Caenorhabditis elegans: one gene and its partners. The protein of the gene in region 2 interacts with the protein of the main gene of each other region in a pairwise test. Each region holds a gene or a part of one and is shown on either strand. Other genes may lie near its edges. The genes, in order: ubc-8, F42G2.5 and rrc-1.

Region 1 (5,907 bases), on a different chromosome or scaffold from region 2:
AAATTGGCGGAAATTGAATTTAAAATTTAATTTTTCGTTGAAAAAATCATTTGCGCGTAGGTTCCGCTGCATTGTGTGCACTCTGGAGGGGTGGCGTGTTTGCGTACAATGCGCGTCAGAGGCAATGTTGACCGTACCCCAAGGGGAAATTCAGCTTTTCTGTGTGTAATTAATAATTTTCTGAAAATGCCTGTTTTTCTCATGAAAAAGCTTTATTATGTACACAAAATCTAGCGAGAAATTCCAAAAAAAAACAAATTCACAAAAATACAGGAAAACCTGGGCGAAAAAAACAGGGAAAGGCAGTCCGCGAAAAGGAAAAATCGATAATATTTACAATTTTCTACACATTCTACACAGGTGCTCATAGGAAATGAGTAAGGACAACGAGAAAAAAAACGGGGGCAACGAAGATATGGACACACGAAGAAGGAAGAAACTGGGAAAAAATACAAAAAAATCCTGAATTTCGGGGGGAATTGAAGAGAAAATTTGGGGGGGGGGGGGGGCTTGAGGTCAAAAAAATTGGTGATTTATGGGAAAAATGAAGAGATTTGAGTGGAAAATTTGAAATTTTCGAGCATTTTTACCCCTAGATTGATGAAAATAAATATTTGCACTTGGTGGCCTAGAAAAAAAAAATTTCAGAAAAGTTCGGCCATCATCAATTTTTGCATCATTCTAGTGTGAGTTTTGCTCAAAAATCTCAATTTATAACTAGTTTTGACTTAATTTTCACGGGAAATATCGGACAAATTGAACAAAAAAAAAAGAATTTTAAGCGGAAAATAAAAGTTTTCCGAATATTTCCCCCATTAAAATTCCATTTGATCTACAGTCATTGTGTCGTCAGCATCAAAATCATCAAAGTTCACTTCACTTTCATCAAATTCCGACATTGAACTACAACTTTCGTCGTCATCGTCCTGCGGGTGACCATCGTAGTGCTCCGAGGGTGTTGAGGATATGGAATAGGCGTTTCCCGGGGAGCATCCTTCTATGGCACGGTGTTCACTTGCAAATCGCATTACGTATTCTGAAAATAAAAAAAAATTTAAAAAAATCGATAAAAATCGGCAAAATTCCATTTTTTTGATCAAAAAATTGCTAAAAACATGGAAAAATTCGCTCAAACTCTTAAAATTTTGCAATTTCAACCTCAAAAACCACTTAGAACCGTAAAAAGTACGCAGAAAGCAAAAAAAAAGCAAAAAAAAAAATGATGGCCTAACTTTTAGAATTTCTAGTCCACCAAGTGAAAAACTAGTCCCCGATTGTTTTTTGCCGAATTAAAAAAAAGGATTAAAATATACTTTAATAATTTGAATTAAAAAAAGCTCCAAATAAAATAAAACGGCCAGTTTCGAGTAGGTGGCCTAGAAATTCAAAAGTTCGGCCATCAACATTTTTTTCTCTAAAAAAATTTTTTTCGCGAAAATTGAGATCCTTACACAAATAAGCTTAGAACATGGTTAAATCAAAATCAAAATTGTAAAAAAAAGTTGGCGGTCTAACTTTTGGATTTCTAGGCCACCAACTTCCAAACTGGGCTCGAAGCGTGTGTTTATCTATTTTTTTCCTCTGGTTCCCTTATTTTTCAGGGTTGAAAGCCTACTAAAACCGTGAAAAAAAAATATAATACCCGAGGTGGCCTAGAAATCCGAATTCTTCAAAAGTTAGGCCACCGATTTTTTTTTGGTTTTTCTTGTGGACTTCTTTCTAGAAAAACTGTTTTTCAGCGTATAAACTACAGAGAATAACTGAAACCCCCAAAAAAAAAATCGAAAAATATAACGGTGGCCTAGTTTCTGGGATTTCTAGGCCACCAAGTGGAAAACTAGTCCCCCAGTATAAGTGAACCGGTTTTTAAAGCTAAATCGTGTTATAAACATACTAAATGACAGTAAAAACTCAAAGAAATGAACTAGTGGCCTAGAACCCCAAAACTCGGCCATCAACGCATTTCCGCTCTTTCTGGGTCGATTTTCATGGTTTTTTCAATGCAAATATTGATTTTTTAGTGTTCCAACGCACCTCTACACGTTCTTCTGTATTCCTCTGGCTTGTGAATGTATAACCGGGCGGCTTCTCCGTTCAAGGGGTCTGCTGCATTCGGGTAGGTGAGAAGTTGAGGCAGGAAGGTATCGAAAATGTTTGTGAGATCGTAGAGGGCTGTCCAGGCCTGAAGAAAAAATGAAAATCCGATTAAAAAAATCGGCGTCCTAACTTTCGGATTTCTAGACCACCAAGTGAAAAGTTAGTCCGCGGGCTGGTAATTGCTTAAAATTACTTAAAATGACTAAGAACATAGTCACGGACTAACTTTCCACACACTTCGGCCACCAATTCCTACCTGATTTATGACATCAAGGCATACGGTGCCCGAAGCTTCATCGATATTCGGGTGGAAAATCTTGTTCAAAAACCCGATGGACGGCGATTTGAACGGGTATTTGTCCGGCATATCGACACGAATTCTCCACACACCATTCTCGTAGGCAGCTGCAAGAATTTTTGTTCGAAAAATCGGTAAAACCTGTCTGAAATTGAAGTTTTTTGGGGAAAAGTTTCCTAAAATTGGAGGAAAATGGGCAAAACTCTCGAAATTTTCGAATTTTCGAATTGAAAAACCGTTTAAAACCACAAAAACCACCCTAGAAAACGATGAAAATCATTTTAAAAAAATTTAGAAAATCGGTGGCCGAACATTTGGATTTCTAGGCCACCAAGTGAAAAACTAGTCCCCAGCTGTTTTTTTCTGATTTCCAGGTATTACGAGGAATCTAAGTTGTCACATCGAAATTTCGGGGACTAACTTTTCAACTGGTGGCCTAGAAAAAGCAAAAGTTCGGCCACTGCGCGAAAACAAGTCTATTTCAGTCATTTTTGGGCCATTTTTTCTGATTTTTTTGCCAAAAATATTCAATTTTTCTCTATTTTATGACGTACTATCTTTTGGCCCATGAAATCTGACAATAAACTCGCTGCACCCATTCACAATCTGAACTTCATGGTTGTGGGAAATTCTGGAACAAAATATCGATTTTTTTGGAATTTTCCGAAAAATTCAATTACAGCTTAACGACGTCACAGTCTATACGGCGTTTTCCGATTGCGGTGGCTGACGTCATCGGGTCTGAAAATATCGATTTTTTCAGATAGAAAAAAAATTTCTGGAAAAAATTTCAAGAAATTTTTTTTGGTCAAAGGAAAAAAATTTCATACATGGACTTGAAAATAGTCTTTGAACAAATTTTCTCAGTACCCCTGAGATACGGTAGACTACTGTAACCCGGAAACACGTAAATAAAGTTTCAGGCCAAAACCAGGCTTAACCTCGCTCAAATTGCTCCAAATGTCACCAGACTTATAGAAAATGTTGCTACAGTAGTACCCCAGGTTACTGTATTCAAATATTAATGTAGCTACAGTACTCCTAGACTAGGTACAGTAAGCACAATGCTTCCGAAACACATTTAAAAATTCAATTGGCTCAAAAAAAATCCCGTAAAATTGTTCAAAACATTCCAATATATTCAAAATTTTTAGACAATGTTGTTACAGTACCCTAGGTTACTGTACTCAGATACTGATGTAACTACAGTACCCCTAGCCTAGATACAGTACCCTTTATGCCATGAAAACTACAAAAAACAACAATTAAACTCATAAAAAGTTCTGTTAAAACTATTCAAAATGCTTTAAGTTTCCTCAAATTTCCAGAATCTGTTCCTACAGTACCCCAGGTTACTGTACTAAAATTTTGGGTCAGCTACAGCATTCCTAGCATAAATACAGTACCCTTTATGCTATCAAGACTACGAAAAAGCAGCAATTGAGCTCAGAAAAACCTCTGTTAAAACTATTAAACATGCTTCAAGTTTTCTCAAATTTTCAGAAAATGTTGCTACAGTACCCTAGGTTACCGTACTTCAATATTACTGTAGCTAGAATACTCCTAGACCAGTTACAGTACCCTTTATGGCATCAAAATAAATTTAAAAAAAACAACAATTGAACTCATAAAAAGTTCTGTTAAAACTATTCAAAATGCTTTAAATTTTCTCAAACTTCCAGAATCTGTTCCTACAGTACCCCAGGTTACTGTATTTTGTTTTTGAGTTAGCTACAGTACCCCTAGCCTAGATACAGCACTCCTATCAACACCAAAACACTTCAATGAGCTCCCCGTAAAAATGCTCCAAAATGCTCCAAAATGGTCAAAATTTTTGCCACGTGTTTCTACAGTACTCAGGATTACTGTACCGTTATCATCAATTAGCTACAGTACCCCTCACAACCCTACACAACTAAAAAAACAACTGATAGTACTTTAAACCGGTGTAAACCCTCTTCAAAATGCTCCAAATTACACGGGATTTTTGCCACGTATAGCTGCAGTATCCAAGTCTACAGCACTCTCAGAATCCACGCTTCAAAGTGCGCAAAACACTGCTTAAAATCGGTTGAAAATCGATGGAAAACTGGACGAAAAACATATGATCATCGGGGCGCGGGTCGTCGTCGGCTGGTTGTCTTGTGCTGCGTGCGCCCCCCGGCAGCCAGCCGTGTCTTGCGACTCGAGAGAGAGTACACGGAAGTGAGAGAGTGGGTTAGACAGGACAGAGAAAAAGAAAACACGAGACAACAGACGCGAGAGAGTGTGCACTTTGTGGAGACGCGCAGCGAGAGAGGAGGGATCGTGAGACGCGGAGATTTCATGGGGAGACGAATGGGCGCGCAGTAGGCATACAAACAGCTGAGGGGGGAGAGAACGATGAACTTTTAGAGAATATTGCGCGGCTTTTCTAGACATTTTGGGATTTGTTAAGCAGAAAAGTTCAATTTTGCACGTATTCTAGATTGACAACACATTTTGCTCATTTTCAGAAATTTAGTTTTAATATGTTTTCTATTTAAAATAAATACATTAAAGGTGGACTACGCTCAGTGGGGAAATTGCTTTAAAGCACGCGTATGGTACCACAATGACCGAATATCATGATAAAAAAATTCAAAAAAATTTCCCTGATTTTATATGATTTTTTAAAAATTAAAAAAAAATAAAATCACAGTTTTCCCCCCTAATTATTTTTGAATTTCCGCAAATTGGAGTTGTTCGGTGGAGCGTGCTTGCATTGTTTTTATCAATTAATCTTTATTTATTCTCGTTATTTGACTGATTGTTGCCGTCGGAACTCAAAATCTGATAGTTTTGTGCATTTTCAATTACTTTTTAACAAACATTTTGCATTTGTCTTGTTTATTTCTTTCATTTTCCGATGAAAAAACATAGAAAATTAAGAAAATCAGTCAAATAACGAGAGTAAATATAATTAATAAATAAAAATAATGCAAGCACGCTCCACCGAACAAATCCAATTGGCGGAAATTTAAAAATAATGTTTAGCAGTTGGAGTTCAGATATAAGAAATACAATACCTCAATCAAGACATTTTCAAGATTTTCTCATATTATAAATGTATCATAATGTTTTCGATATAGTCAAAAAAATGATGAGAGGATTACTCCATTTTGGACTTTCTGACGTTATTTCAATGACAAATAACGATGTGAAATATTAAAAATAGCAGGGATATATTCTAGCCCAAATATTCCAAACAACTTTTCATTCAAATAATATTCTAGAAACTTTTGAATGGGAATTTGTTATACATATTTAATAATTTATCACGCTCTCTGGGAGACGAGAAAAAATACAATAGTGTATGACCATATTCCTAACCATTGAATACCGTATGCTCATGTTGTTTCCAAAGCCAGTGACAAAACATTTCTCAATTTTAACATATTCATTTAAATATATTCATTTCATTTAAATATATTTCATTCACATTATTTATTCATTCACATATTTTTTTTTTCATTCAGATATTCATTTAAACC
Region 2 (5,907 bases):
TCCACAGCTGATCTCAAGCCTCGGCACACTTTTCGGGAAGCTAGTCTGGAATTTTTTGAATTTTTTAATGGCGACAACAAAAAAAACTTGAAAAAAAATAATTAAAATAGCTAGAAATTTTTTTTTGTGAAATTTCAAGAACCTTGTGAAAATTTTGCAAATTTGTACGGAAGTATTCCAGATTTTGCTCATTTTTCAAAATTTTTTGAAGCTTTTGTACAAAATCGTAAAAATTTGGTAAAAACGGGTGAGGTAACGTCACAAACTATATACTACAAAATCATATTTTATACCTTTTTTTAGAAAAAAGTATTTATCAAACATTTAGAAAAAGTAACTCACAGATCCGTAACCCCAAGTTTTTCCAAAACTTGTTCAGCGACTTGCAAAGGCAAATTGAGCAAAGTTGGAGCTACAATTTGCATTTCCGAAAACAATTCTTCAACGTTCATCTGAATTTATACATAAAATTAACCTCTTTTTTTATAGTAATATGGAGAAAAGTTATAAAAGTACGCAGGATGGCGAGAAGAGTTCAAAAACTCAACAAGTGTAAACACTGTGACGACAAAATGCACATCATTTTCATAGTTTGTACATTTTCTGAACAGACGGTTTTTTTTATCAGTTTTTGATCTCTGCGTGTCTAAATCTATGGGTTCTCTAATATTCTGCAATGCATCATAAAATGGAGGGCGGTTGGTAAATACCTCTGGTCAAAACTGAAGTGAATTTAGAACCTTGTTAGCTACAAAATTGTCAAATATATTTTCTGAAGGATAATATTATGGAATTTTTTGGTATTTTTTTCAACAAAAAATTCCACGTCTTTTTCGAGAGTTTTAATAAGTTTTAATGTCAGCTTTTATATGGAAAATAACAAAATTAACGGATTTTACAAAGTTTCATCAAAAGAAAAGCCAAATTTTTTTTAGAAAATTGACAAAAAAAATTTCTCCTGCGAACTTGTTCAAAAAGTCAAAATAGTTTATTTAACGTACTTGCAACAAATTACTCACAGAAATTGTGCTAAAAGTGTGCAATATGATTAGAAAAACCAAAAAGAATTCAAAGAAATTCAGTATTAAATCAAAAAGTTTTGACGAAATTTAAAATTAAAAAAAAATCAATATTGGGAGATTTTTTTAAGTGCATCAAAAAAAGTTATCTACTATGTTCCTTTAAAAAAATATTTTTTATATGTTTTGTAGATTACTGGGGGTTTAAAAGACTATGAAAGGGCCGGGAAAAAGATTTTAGAACTAATTTGGTCACAGCAAAGAAAAAATGCATTTTATAATTAGTTGTATTGTATTATACATACATACATAAATATTGCGCCACGTGATTGCAGACAAAGATCAACCCAAACAGCAAGCTGGATTTTCTACACGGTGCTGAAATTGGAAGGGAATTTTGTTGTCATGGAAACTGAAAATTCAAAATTGAAACAAAACATTAATCCATACAGCTATCTTACGTAAAGCCATTTTGTCTATCTCCGGAAAAGTGAGTGCAACATCTAAAACGGCAGGTTTTACAACTGCACATTCCGTTCCCGAATCGGTTAAGGATCTTGTCGCAAGCTCTACGTCGTCCATTTCCATCGACAACTTCAACTCGGCAATTTTTAAATTCTGATGTTTAAGGATTTCTGATAGTTCTGCCACAAGCAACGCATTCTTTGAAACGTTCATGTCTGCGATGGTGTGTAATTTTCCGATCGCCTCGTTTTCCAAAGCATTTATAGTTTCTCGTATTGAAGCATAGTAGGAGACTATCTGTAAAGCTGTGTGTAATTTTTTTTTAATTTATATTATGAGTGCTAAGGAATACCTCGAAAAATTCAAAAATTGGGAAGTGTTCCTATAGCAGCGTACTGTGGGGGAAAGTTTCAAGCAGTTATATTGGAAAATCCGGGCAATTAAATTTTTTTTGTCTACAGTCCTCACCTACCGAATCCTTTCTCTCTTGAAATTCCCTCCCATCCTTCAAATTTGAGAGTTGGGCTCTGAATTTATTTTTTTTTGGTTAATAATTTTTTCACATTTTCCAACTTTCCTACCTGCCAACAGCTTTAATACTCTTGTCAGTTTTACTAACTTGCTCCTCCAATTTTGAGAGCTGGCAGCTCAGTTGTTGTCTTAACTTTGCGATTTCCAACGGTGGAACTCGTAAAGTTTTCTTTAAAAATTTGTTCAACAGTTGAGAACAACTTTGTTATCAACTTACCTGATCAATTGCTTGCAGTAATGCAAAGTTTTTGGGAAGACTTGCCACACTGCTCACATTGGTTTCATTCCGGCAAAATGGACATAAGATAACACAGTTTTTGGCCAGCTTTGATGCACAGCTTTGACAAATTGAGTGGCCACACTCTGTACAAAAAATTGTATTGCCGCACTTTAGAGGCATCAAAACTCACGAAGAATCCTAGGAATCTGGTTATCAACAACACTTGAAAACTCCAAGGTACATATTTCGCACTCGATGTTTGATTTTGAATCTGTATTGTCAACGAAAGTAACCACAAGCCTATTGTAGGTAAGCTCGTCTGGTTTGACATTTTTCCAAACTGATTCCAAATCAGAAACATCAATGGAAGGCGCGACGCACGATTGAACCAGAAACTTGTGCTGCTTAGCATCAGGTGGAACTTTTTCCAAAGGTTGGAGCATCACTTCAATTTGTTTCGAGTCCCCAATGTTTAGAATTCCTTTAAAAATGAAACAATGGCCGTCCGGTAACCGTGTCATTCATTTTTCTTCAAAATACTCACCTCTGTTTGGACGAACACAATAACTATTTGGAACCGTTGTTTTTACTAGAAAACACACTGGGCTTTGTGATATATTTGTGAGCGTCATGTAAGTAGTGATCACGTGATCGAATGGACCACTGAAGACGAGCTCTGGAGGCACTTCTAGAAGACTCTTTTTTTCAGGCATTGTTTATCTGTAATATTAGTTAAATGCAAAGAGAAGAGTATGTAAAGTAAAAGCCTAACTCAAGTAATTTTAGAAATATTTACCAGAAATTTTATGACATTTAACAGGCAGCAACTTTCGAAAGAAAACTGTTATCAATTTGGGTGTTACTCTTATCTAAGACTTAGGAACAATTTCTTTTCATGTGTTACTTGTTTTTTTCATAATGTGTAGAATAGAAATATTGTTGAAAAAGGTCCTCATATAGAGTTTTTGTGGTATCATCTCATCGCTGTTAACTGTCAAAGTGATCCTATATTCAAATACATTTTCAGGCATCGTTTTTTTATTTAAAAAATATTTATTTTAATTAAAAATTAAATTTATAAAATTGAAAAAAAAATTAATTGAGAGACAAACGTGAAAAAAATCCACGTTTCAAAAGAAAACGAAAAGGGGGAGGAAGTGAAATTCAAAAATATTCATTACCATCTTCATGTCGCTGATGAAATCATCAGAATCGTGGTTCTTTCGACACGTGGATTTGCAAACAGTGAGTTTTGGATAAATCGATAAATCGATGGCCGAACTTTTCAAGACCATGCAGCAATATTCTTTCAGAAGCAAATGGTTTTCTACACGTGAGAGAATGCGTTGGAAAGGACGATTTGAAGTGATGCACACATATGCAAGCCACAGTACACGGAATCACTGGCATCACGTCACCCAATGCATCAGGATTTGATCTACTTCCCGTGGCGCCCAGAGGACTTGTCTTTCTGCCAGTGATCCCAGGAACCCAGAGGTATGTTTCTGGCCCAGCAACGCAGAATTCACTGAACAAAAACCATTTTCAGGGTGCTGTCAACATGGCATACTACGCGAACAAGGACTATGGCATGTCCCTTCCACGTGAATCCGTTGAGATGAAGGCTGGAGATTTTGTGTTCTACCATCCGTGCTTGTTCCACGGATCCGGTGCCAGTCGATCCGATGGGTTCTCGTGTCACGACGAAATACACGCCCGCGCGCGCATTTTCAATATCTTGGAGTAACTTTCCGTTAGAGCGCGTTTTCCTTTTCAGAAAGGCTGCCAGCGAGCATGTGCTATGTGAAACATTATTTTAAAAGTTTGTGGTTTATAGATTATAGATCATTCTCAGTTTTCTCGTGAAAAATCTAAAAATTTACGGTTGGCTTGATTGCTTAGAAAGCCCCATGCAACAGTAGTGTAAGTAGCTGAGCCTGACCAAGTTCCTTGATGGCTAAACAAGGTCTACGCAGAGTTGTGGTAGGGGTGTACCTAACTACTCAACTTTAAAGACCCATATCAAATCGATTTCCGTGACTTTGTTGTACCAAAAAATTCGGATATACCCCGTCGTTCATTTTAATTATCAAAATAAAAGGTGATGGAAGATAATGAGATACGCCTGCCTTGCCGAATAAGACCAGCTGCTAGATAATCCTATAATGGGACACATCTGGTTGAATCGAACCGGCTTGCTCAATTCTCTCCATATTCTTTATTATCAAAAATGAATAGCTCGAAACCATTGTCATATCCAAGCATTGGGAGCATTCTTCAGCACCTGAAGCCTGATAAAAAGTTAGTTTTTTATTTTTATTTTACTAATGTTTAAACAAGCTTTTTTTCTAGATTCCAACTCTCCCAGCAGTGCCGGACAATCACTTCTATTGACAAATCAAGACCTTTATATTTGAAATCTTTAAAGTTAAATGAGAACAGCATCAAATTGAATGGCACCACCTATGAATTGAATGTGATCGAGAATTCGCTTAAGCCACGAGCATTTCCATATGATGTGAATAGCCAAGGATCTATAGATTTGGAAATGGTAGTGCCAGACCAGGAACAAGAACAGGAGATCTTGGTCGATGACAGAACCGACAATCCAACATCATACAATGAGCAAAGGATTTCTCGAGCTGATTTGAAAAATGCTCCCAGCTCCAGTTATACTCATTACATCCGGTTTTCCGTTGGAAATCACTCTGAGCAATTACAATACAATGAGCGGAAGCTTCACGATGCTATGAAATACCTAATTGATAAGCTTCTGGGAGGAAGGCCTACTATCAAAGCCCGACAATTTTGCGTGGAAAACTCTGGAATACTCCGAATCCCGAGACACCTCAAAATTCGTGCTAAAGTTGTACAGTTAAATGGCTTAATCCGGGAAAAGCTATTAAATGCCACACAACATCTACTGGATATCAAAAGCCTACCACTATCAGGTGTCATCATTTCTGATCCCCTTATGAATGCTCCGAATCTTGATATTGATTTTATTCAAACCGCTGAGATGCTACTTTTATACTGCGAAGTGATTTCCGGGGAGGGATTGCTCAAAGTTCGGCACAAAAGAGTTTACATTAATGCGTACTTGTATGATGCTACTTTTCGGCTTTTCGAGGATTGGATGGAGCACGGGCGGGAAGTTGGTACGCATTTCTCATTTGCAATGAGGAATGAGGGAAACATAATTGATGTTCTGGATAAAATTCGAATAAATTATAATGTGGAAGAAGGGTAAGTAAAGTTTGATGGTGCTGCTCTAAAATATAGTTTTTTTTTTGCAGAACTGCTGAGAATCAACTGACCATTCATATAAACAACTTCACGGATATTGTCGTCAGTCATAAAGTGGATACATGGATTTTGGAGTATAAAGTTCAGCAACGAGAAGTTATGTAAATTTACATCTGAATTCAAATCCCAACTGTTTACAGAAGCAAATATAACTGTTCACAATTTATCCTGATACTGATTTATTTACTTCTGATATTGAGCAAATTTCAATAAAGTTTTATTAAAATCTTTAAACTAGAATTGATCATTGAAGTTGTTGCTAATTGTTTGTGTTTACATTATCATAATTTCGACATCAACAAATATCGCCTACCCTTTTAGTATTTGTAGAACGACTTACCATCATTATCAGTTGATAACTCATAT
Region 3 (5,907 bases), on a different chromosome or scaffold from region 2:
CTTCCTGTAAACATCAAATGTGATGACTAGTGATTTTGAAAAGAAGCCGTCACCTCGAACTTTGCCGTTTCCAGATGAATAAGAGGAAACAGCTCGTCAAGTCGTGAATGCCTTCGTTCGAACACACAACGATGCAGCTGTCTGTCGAAGACTGCCCAATCCTCCCGAGAACGTTCGACAAGCCTGAATGAATCAATGATGGAAAACCTTTCAAGTTTCCGTTTTTCTTTCTTTTTTCTTTTTTGTTCTTCCTCGTACTAACTTTATTCAGCCTTTATTCTCATCTCCCATGAGACTTCACTCGTGGCTTTTTTGTTTGATTTCTGTGTGGCAGAACATTGAAAGAAAAACCGAGAGAAACACCACGGAGCACGAATTTTTGAAGACAAATTGGAAACAGAAGGAATGACCAACTCACCATGAATTTGATTCACTTTCCACACGCATTTTTATCCGCTCTGTTGCATTCTCGTCAGCGTTTATTGCGATGATGGCAACACGGACGGGACCCAATTCAACAGACGAATAATGGAAGTGTTGACAGTCGACTAGTCGTTGAATGCGAAGACTGAAACACAATAAATTGTTGATATTCAACGAAATAAACAGTGAAGTAGTATATGAATTATTTCCAGCTAGCAAAATTTGCTTCTTTCAAAAATTTTTCAACTCACAAAGTTGATACTAAAACATTAATATTCCAATTAAAATGTTTGTGGTGAAGAAATGTAAAGATATTTTCTTGAAAGAACGCCGCAACATATCTACCAACCTTATCAGCTTTAGGAATGCATTTAGTGAAAAACTGGCTAAAGTTGGGTAAAATAAATTAAAGTTGGGGATGCGCTGAAAACTTTGCACTGAAAATGTTTCTATAGTGGCCTAAACTTGGTTAAAAAGGGCTGAAGTAGTTACAATTATTTAATGTACAGTTCGAATTATTTTTCTTTTAATGGTTATTCTTTGGTAAAACTTGATTTAATAGTAAAAAAAGGATATTGCCCCGGGCGGGATTCGAACCCGCGACTGGTTTAACCCAATGAGATCATAAGTCTCACGCCTTCGACCGCTCGGCCACCGGGGCACTGATTCTGAAAAATGTGCATCTCGTTGAAAACTGCTTGAATTGCTAAAATTGGTGGATAATTTGATGCGAATTGCCGAACGCCTGCCATTCTTGTTGTAACGGTAAAAAAAATAAATTTTTGATATCAATATTTTTCAAAAACTCACAGTACTCGATGTTGCACTGTAACCAATAGTAAATTTTTTATGTACAACAATACACTTCATTATTTTTCCAATTTTATTGCACTGTTTTATCTGGGCAACCGATAAACACAAAAACCACCTTTTTCTAAATTCACCTAACTAAATTTTTTGCAAATAAATGGATATAATGAGGGAGACCGTAAGTGAATTTTTTGATTTATAAACATTCTACTACAAATTCAACATATTTTGTACCCTGGTATTTCTGGATCCATCTTTGCAAGTAGTCAGTGAATAGATAAAGTCCAAAATAAAGTCATTCAATCAATTACATGAAATATTGAGATGGAATAGATAGGAGCCGAGAGGTCTCTCCTCAAGGTTCTGTTGGTGAGTGTGTAATCCCACGCTCACTACATCGTACGCTAGCTGCACTCGCCGGTCGTGGCGGTAGACAAGCGGATAAGCGATGAAACATTCAATTTTGATTGGGATGAAAGGGGAGAAAGAGATGGACCAGAGAGTGATTGCAGAAAAATCAAATTGCAAAATGTGGGCCACTGGTTAGATTTATGGAAGGACATTTATCAAAAGGTTGTTGGAAGCAATTCAATGTTTCGAAACGTTTTTAGTAAAACTGGAGAATTTTAGACCTTTCACATAGTTATTTTTCAAGAACAAAAATACAAGACAGGTCTGTATTGCAACTCTTAGAATTGCTTCAAGACGTCTTGGTAAAAATATTTATTTTAAGCAGATTGTAGAATCAGTTGTAGCACGAAGAAAAAACAAACCAAACTGTTACTCTTCTTTTAACAATTTCTTATGCATATGATGTGAATTGTTGTTTTTACAGTAAAATTGAAGTTGTCTACATAAAATTAAATTTATGTTTCAAATATACTTTGAAAAAAAGTTCCACAACAGAAGGGAAATTACGTTACACGATGGCCCACAATTATAGGCCACCCTGCATCATTAACACGGTGCTTAAAAAATTATTATACTTTTTTTGAAAGCTTTTGAAACAAGTTGGATGAATCTAAATGTCGGGTTTCGCCCGTTTTTCTCTTAATTCTTTTCCGATTAGCTCAAATGGTTAATTCCAGACCTCAAATCTTTATTCAAAATATCTTTTGCGCAAGCAAAGATAAGTATTTTGAAAACGAAATGTTAAATTTGAGTGCATTAGGATTCTGGCAAACCTAAATCATTAAATTTTTTAAAGTTTGAAAATCTAAAAAATTTCGAAAAATCTACCTTCTTCCGTTTCTGCGTGCAAATGGGCTTTTGGGAGATAAAGGTGCAAATGATTCCTCGATGCCTTCCATTTTTTACATCACTTTAAATGAATACGTTGCTTTTCAAATGTTTTTACCAGTTTTTGTTGTCCTCGTTATCCTTCCTGAAAATGGCAACCGGAAGTCATGAGAATAAAAGGTAAACGTGTGGTGTTTGAGGAAAAATACATGTTATAAACACACGCTTTGCTTATAGATCGGTTCGATTATTTACATGCAAACATCATGTCAATTTGTGTTGGCAAATGAGAAGTGACGGCTTTTAGTTAGGAAAGCGGGACGAAAAGGGGGCAATCAGGAAAATCAGTTAAATTGTCGTGTGACTGAAGGAGTAAATATGGGTTCTGTTTGGAAGTTGTCAAAAATTGAGCAATGACATAGGAAGGCAGGCGTTGTTAGGAGCCAACAACCAAGAATCTTCAGACATGTGTTAAAAAATCATGTGGCCAGAAACATCTTGTTCGAGAGTTTTAGGATAAAACTGAAGATTATGATTAAGATTTTAGATATATATGTACCTCGTTTCGTGATATTTGAAGATAAACGTTGTGAGGAAGTGAGTTTCTGATGTTGTAACTTTTAAGTGGAAACTCTATTTTTGAAATTAAAAAAAGAAGGTTTTGAAGCCATACACTCAAATTTAATATGGTTCCAGAGCAAAATTTATCTGGATTATTAGAAATTTATCATAAAATTTAAAAAGGGTCGTATAATTCTACACAAAAAACCAAAACTAAAAATAAAATAAAGCAATTTATATTTTATATTATATTCTTTATGCTTCTAAACTTTTGATTAAATATACACAAATTTCACATAATTTTCTCGGAAAATGTGTTGTTTTTTAGAACACATACAATTAACGTTTATCACTCGACTGGGTAGAACAAAAAACGCAAAAAGAAAAAAAGCTCAGGTTGGTTCCAAAAATTCATCAACACTTGTGACACCTAGCAAAAAAGATAACCAAGCTCTTCAGGGGCAGCAGCCAACACGGATCCGTGCCGGGTTTCCGGTTTTCTAACGCAGTGGACAGCTGCTGTTGTTAAGGAGGAGAGAAAGTACAAGCCATTTGAAACCAAATTCTAGGCACAACAGGTGTCAGGATTTTCATGGATGGTTAAGGATGAGAAAGAACTGGTTGAACGATTGATGCTAATCAGTATGATTTTGAGTCAAAAATGATAAAACGAAGGGTTATTAGTGTGTTATATTTCCGGACGCTTCATCTTCTTCATCTTCAAAGTTTCGGTCTAAAGATAAAGAAGATAGCAACGGGTCCCGAGTTTCTCTCTTCGTCTCATCAACCAATCTCCGTCGTCTTGTCTCTACGTATCACAATTCTGGCGAAGCACACACACACACATACGTTCTTCTTTTTCTACCCCTATGCTCTTTAGCTGCTGCTCTTCTGTGGAGCACTCGATACAAATCTACCACCTGACACTATCACCGCATTGGGTGAGACGGGCTTGCTGGTTCAAATGTTCTTGCAGACAAAAATGACCGTCATATGCTCTAGCTTCTTTTTTTTCAACTACTCTTTGGTAATTTAAGAAATATGGATACCTAAAGTTGATCTGACAATTAAAATGTATTTGTGCAAAAGGGAAAACAAATTGTTAGTAATATTATGAGCTGTAACTTGTAAATAACCTTACTAGAACATATTATATAGTGCCAGAACAATTGTAGAAAGAATTACCGTGTTTCCTGAATCAATCTTGCTTGTAAGACAAATTTTGGATTGACCCGTAGAGGTGAAAGACTAATAAAGACTGCAACACTATTAGAGGCTGCAAAACTAATAGAAAAAATACGGAACTCATTTTTTGACAAAAAATACAACAAAGTTCGAAAAATGTGTTATGACAAAAAAGTTACCAACATACCAAATGTTAAGTATTTGTGAAGTCTGGGTTGAAAAAAAAGCTCAAAAAAGCAAAAGTTTGGCATGTATATACAATAGACAACTGGGACTTTTCAGGTAGTAATTATAAGAAACCACAAATCATCAAATTTTTTGTAGGAAATTCCAAGAAAAATTCAGGTTTCATCAAATTGAAAATGAAAATTGAATGACCTTATTTCAACATCTAGCTTTCAACACTTGATGTTATCGTCTTACACGTCTTCGCAAGTGACACTTTTTCTTGAGACAATCGTCGTTTGATCCCAATTATTTATTAAAGCCCAATTCATTCAACTCATAGATATAAATGCATGAAAAAATATTGAAAAGTGAATTATCATACTGGTAGACTTTGATTCAGAGAGTAGAAAGAAGAGAGAACCAACTGATGACAGTCACAAATTGACACAACAAAATAGGGTAGCGCGAGTTTGAGCGAAAAGGAGAGCGGTTTGGCGTTTAAAGCAATAAAACAAATCTAAAATTTTGATAAAAGTGCCGGTATTCCATAGGAAGATCAACAGGGAAATCAGAGTAAAACTGGGGTAGGAGATTATGAGGGGAAAAATGATAACACATATCAGCTAATCAATTTTGCAAAGTACATTATTATACACAACTGAAATATACAATTTGTACACACAAATGCTGGAGGTCTATCAAATCTGTTTATGACATGAAATCTAATAATTAGAGATCTGTGAATGGTGTTTTGACGTGCGGGTGGTCGGTGTCGTGCTTGAGCACTTTTACAAGCTCATCAATATAATCGCGATGCTTTCGACAGTAGATGAATGAATCCCACATCATTGTGCATACATCCAAATCGCTAGTTGAAGAAAGAAATATATTCTGAAATAAAAATGTTCATTTATTTTTCAAAAATATTTTACAGCTAAAATTTAGAGAACTATTTCATAAACTGCCAATAAATGTTTTGTGACACTGATGAGATAAAGGTCGAAAACATACTTTTGATAATGGTGCGGAGAATCTGAAGAAAGGGATTTCCAAAGAGTCTGCCCATTGCCTGGATCTTGCCACCGGTGCACCTTCTGACGCAGTCGCTTGATCGATAAACATTGCTGCCAGATTCTTAATAGTTTTTATGGATTGTAGTGGTGAGTTACTGTCAATGGACAAGGTTTCGATCACTGTGCTTGGAATCTGCCCTGTTCCAAACGATACAAGAACGTTCATTTGAACTGCGTCTGATTTTCTTCCAGAAAGCTGAAGTTCTCTGTTGTAGGCGTGAACTTCGCTCATCAAATCCAATGCAGGGTTATTGGAGATTATTCCACCGTCTATGTACCGGTCTTCTGAGGGTTTGAACAGAACTGGCGCCGCAGTTGATCGACGAAGTGCCATCCACAAAGGCATTTCTTTCGGTGTCTCAGGTGCAACATCTTTAGCTGGTTTATAATTACGAGCCATTTCAAGCCGAACTGGAAGCTTCTCAGAATTCACTGCACTAATCATCAG

What was found.
Region 1: the proteins of F42G2.5 (region 2) and ubc-8 interact in a two-hybrid assay, tested with the Caenorhabditis elegans proteins (one study listed by BioGRID).
Region 3: the proteins of F42G2.5 (region 2) and rrc-1 interact in a two-hybrid assay, tested with the Caenorhabditis elegans proteins (2 studies listed by BioGRID).

What each region holds. Positions count from the first base shown.
Region 1 is NC_003282.8:2,704,101-2,710,007, forward strand, and holds ubc-8 (UBC core domain-containing protein), read right to left. Parts: upstream 3,139-5,907; 5' UTR 3,132-3,138; coding exon 3,076-3,131; intron 3,027-3,075; coding exon 2,950-3,026; intron 2,503-2,949; coding exon 2,354-2,502; intron 2,183-2,353; coding exon 2,035-2,182; intron 1,037-2,034; coding exon 816-1,036; 3' UTR 641-815; downstream 1-640.
Region 2 is NC_003280.10:2,415,024-2,420,930, forward strand, and holds F42G2.5 (Major sperm protein), read right to left. Parts: upstream 2,967-5,907; 5' UTR 2,949-2,966; coding exon 2,780-2,948; intron 2,717-2,779; coding exon 2,426-2,716; intron 2,379-2,425; coding exon 2,233-2,378; intron 2,185-2,232; coding exon 2,066-2,184; intron 2,012-2,065; coding exon 1,957-2,011; intron 1,782-1,956; coding exon 1,481-1,781; intron 1,432-1,480; coding exon 1,388-1,431; 3' UTR 974-1,387; downstream 1-973. Other genes in the region: fbxa-4 (F-box domain-containing protein), read right to left, coding at 1-45, 343-425; F42G2.7 (phytanoyl-CoA dioxygenase), read left to right, coding at 3,614-3,982; fbxc-20 (F-box C protein), read left to right, coding at 4,466-4,536, 4,588-5,481, 5,532-5,646.
Region 3 is NC_003284.9:9,828,668-9,834,574, forward strand, and holds the start of rrc-1 (GTPase-activating protein rrc-1), read right to left. Parts: upstream 2,622-5,907; 5' UTR 2,544-2,621; coding exon 2,473-2,543; intron 1,637-2,472; exon of another isoform or gene 1,488-1,636; coding exon of another isoform or gene 1,468-1,487; intron 1,085-1,467; exon of another isoform or gene 1,000-1,084; intron 569-999; coding exon 419-568; intron 184-418; coding exon 54-183; intron 5-53; coding exon 1-4. Other genes in the region: ipla-2 (Intracellular phospholipase A2), read right to left, coding at 5,116-5,277, 5,398-5,907. UniProt on the Caenorhabditis elegans protein: Functions as a GTPase-activating protein (GAP) for ced-10/rac-1 and CDC42.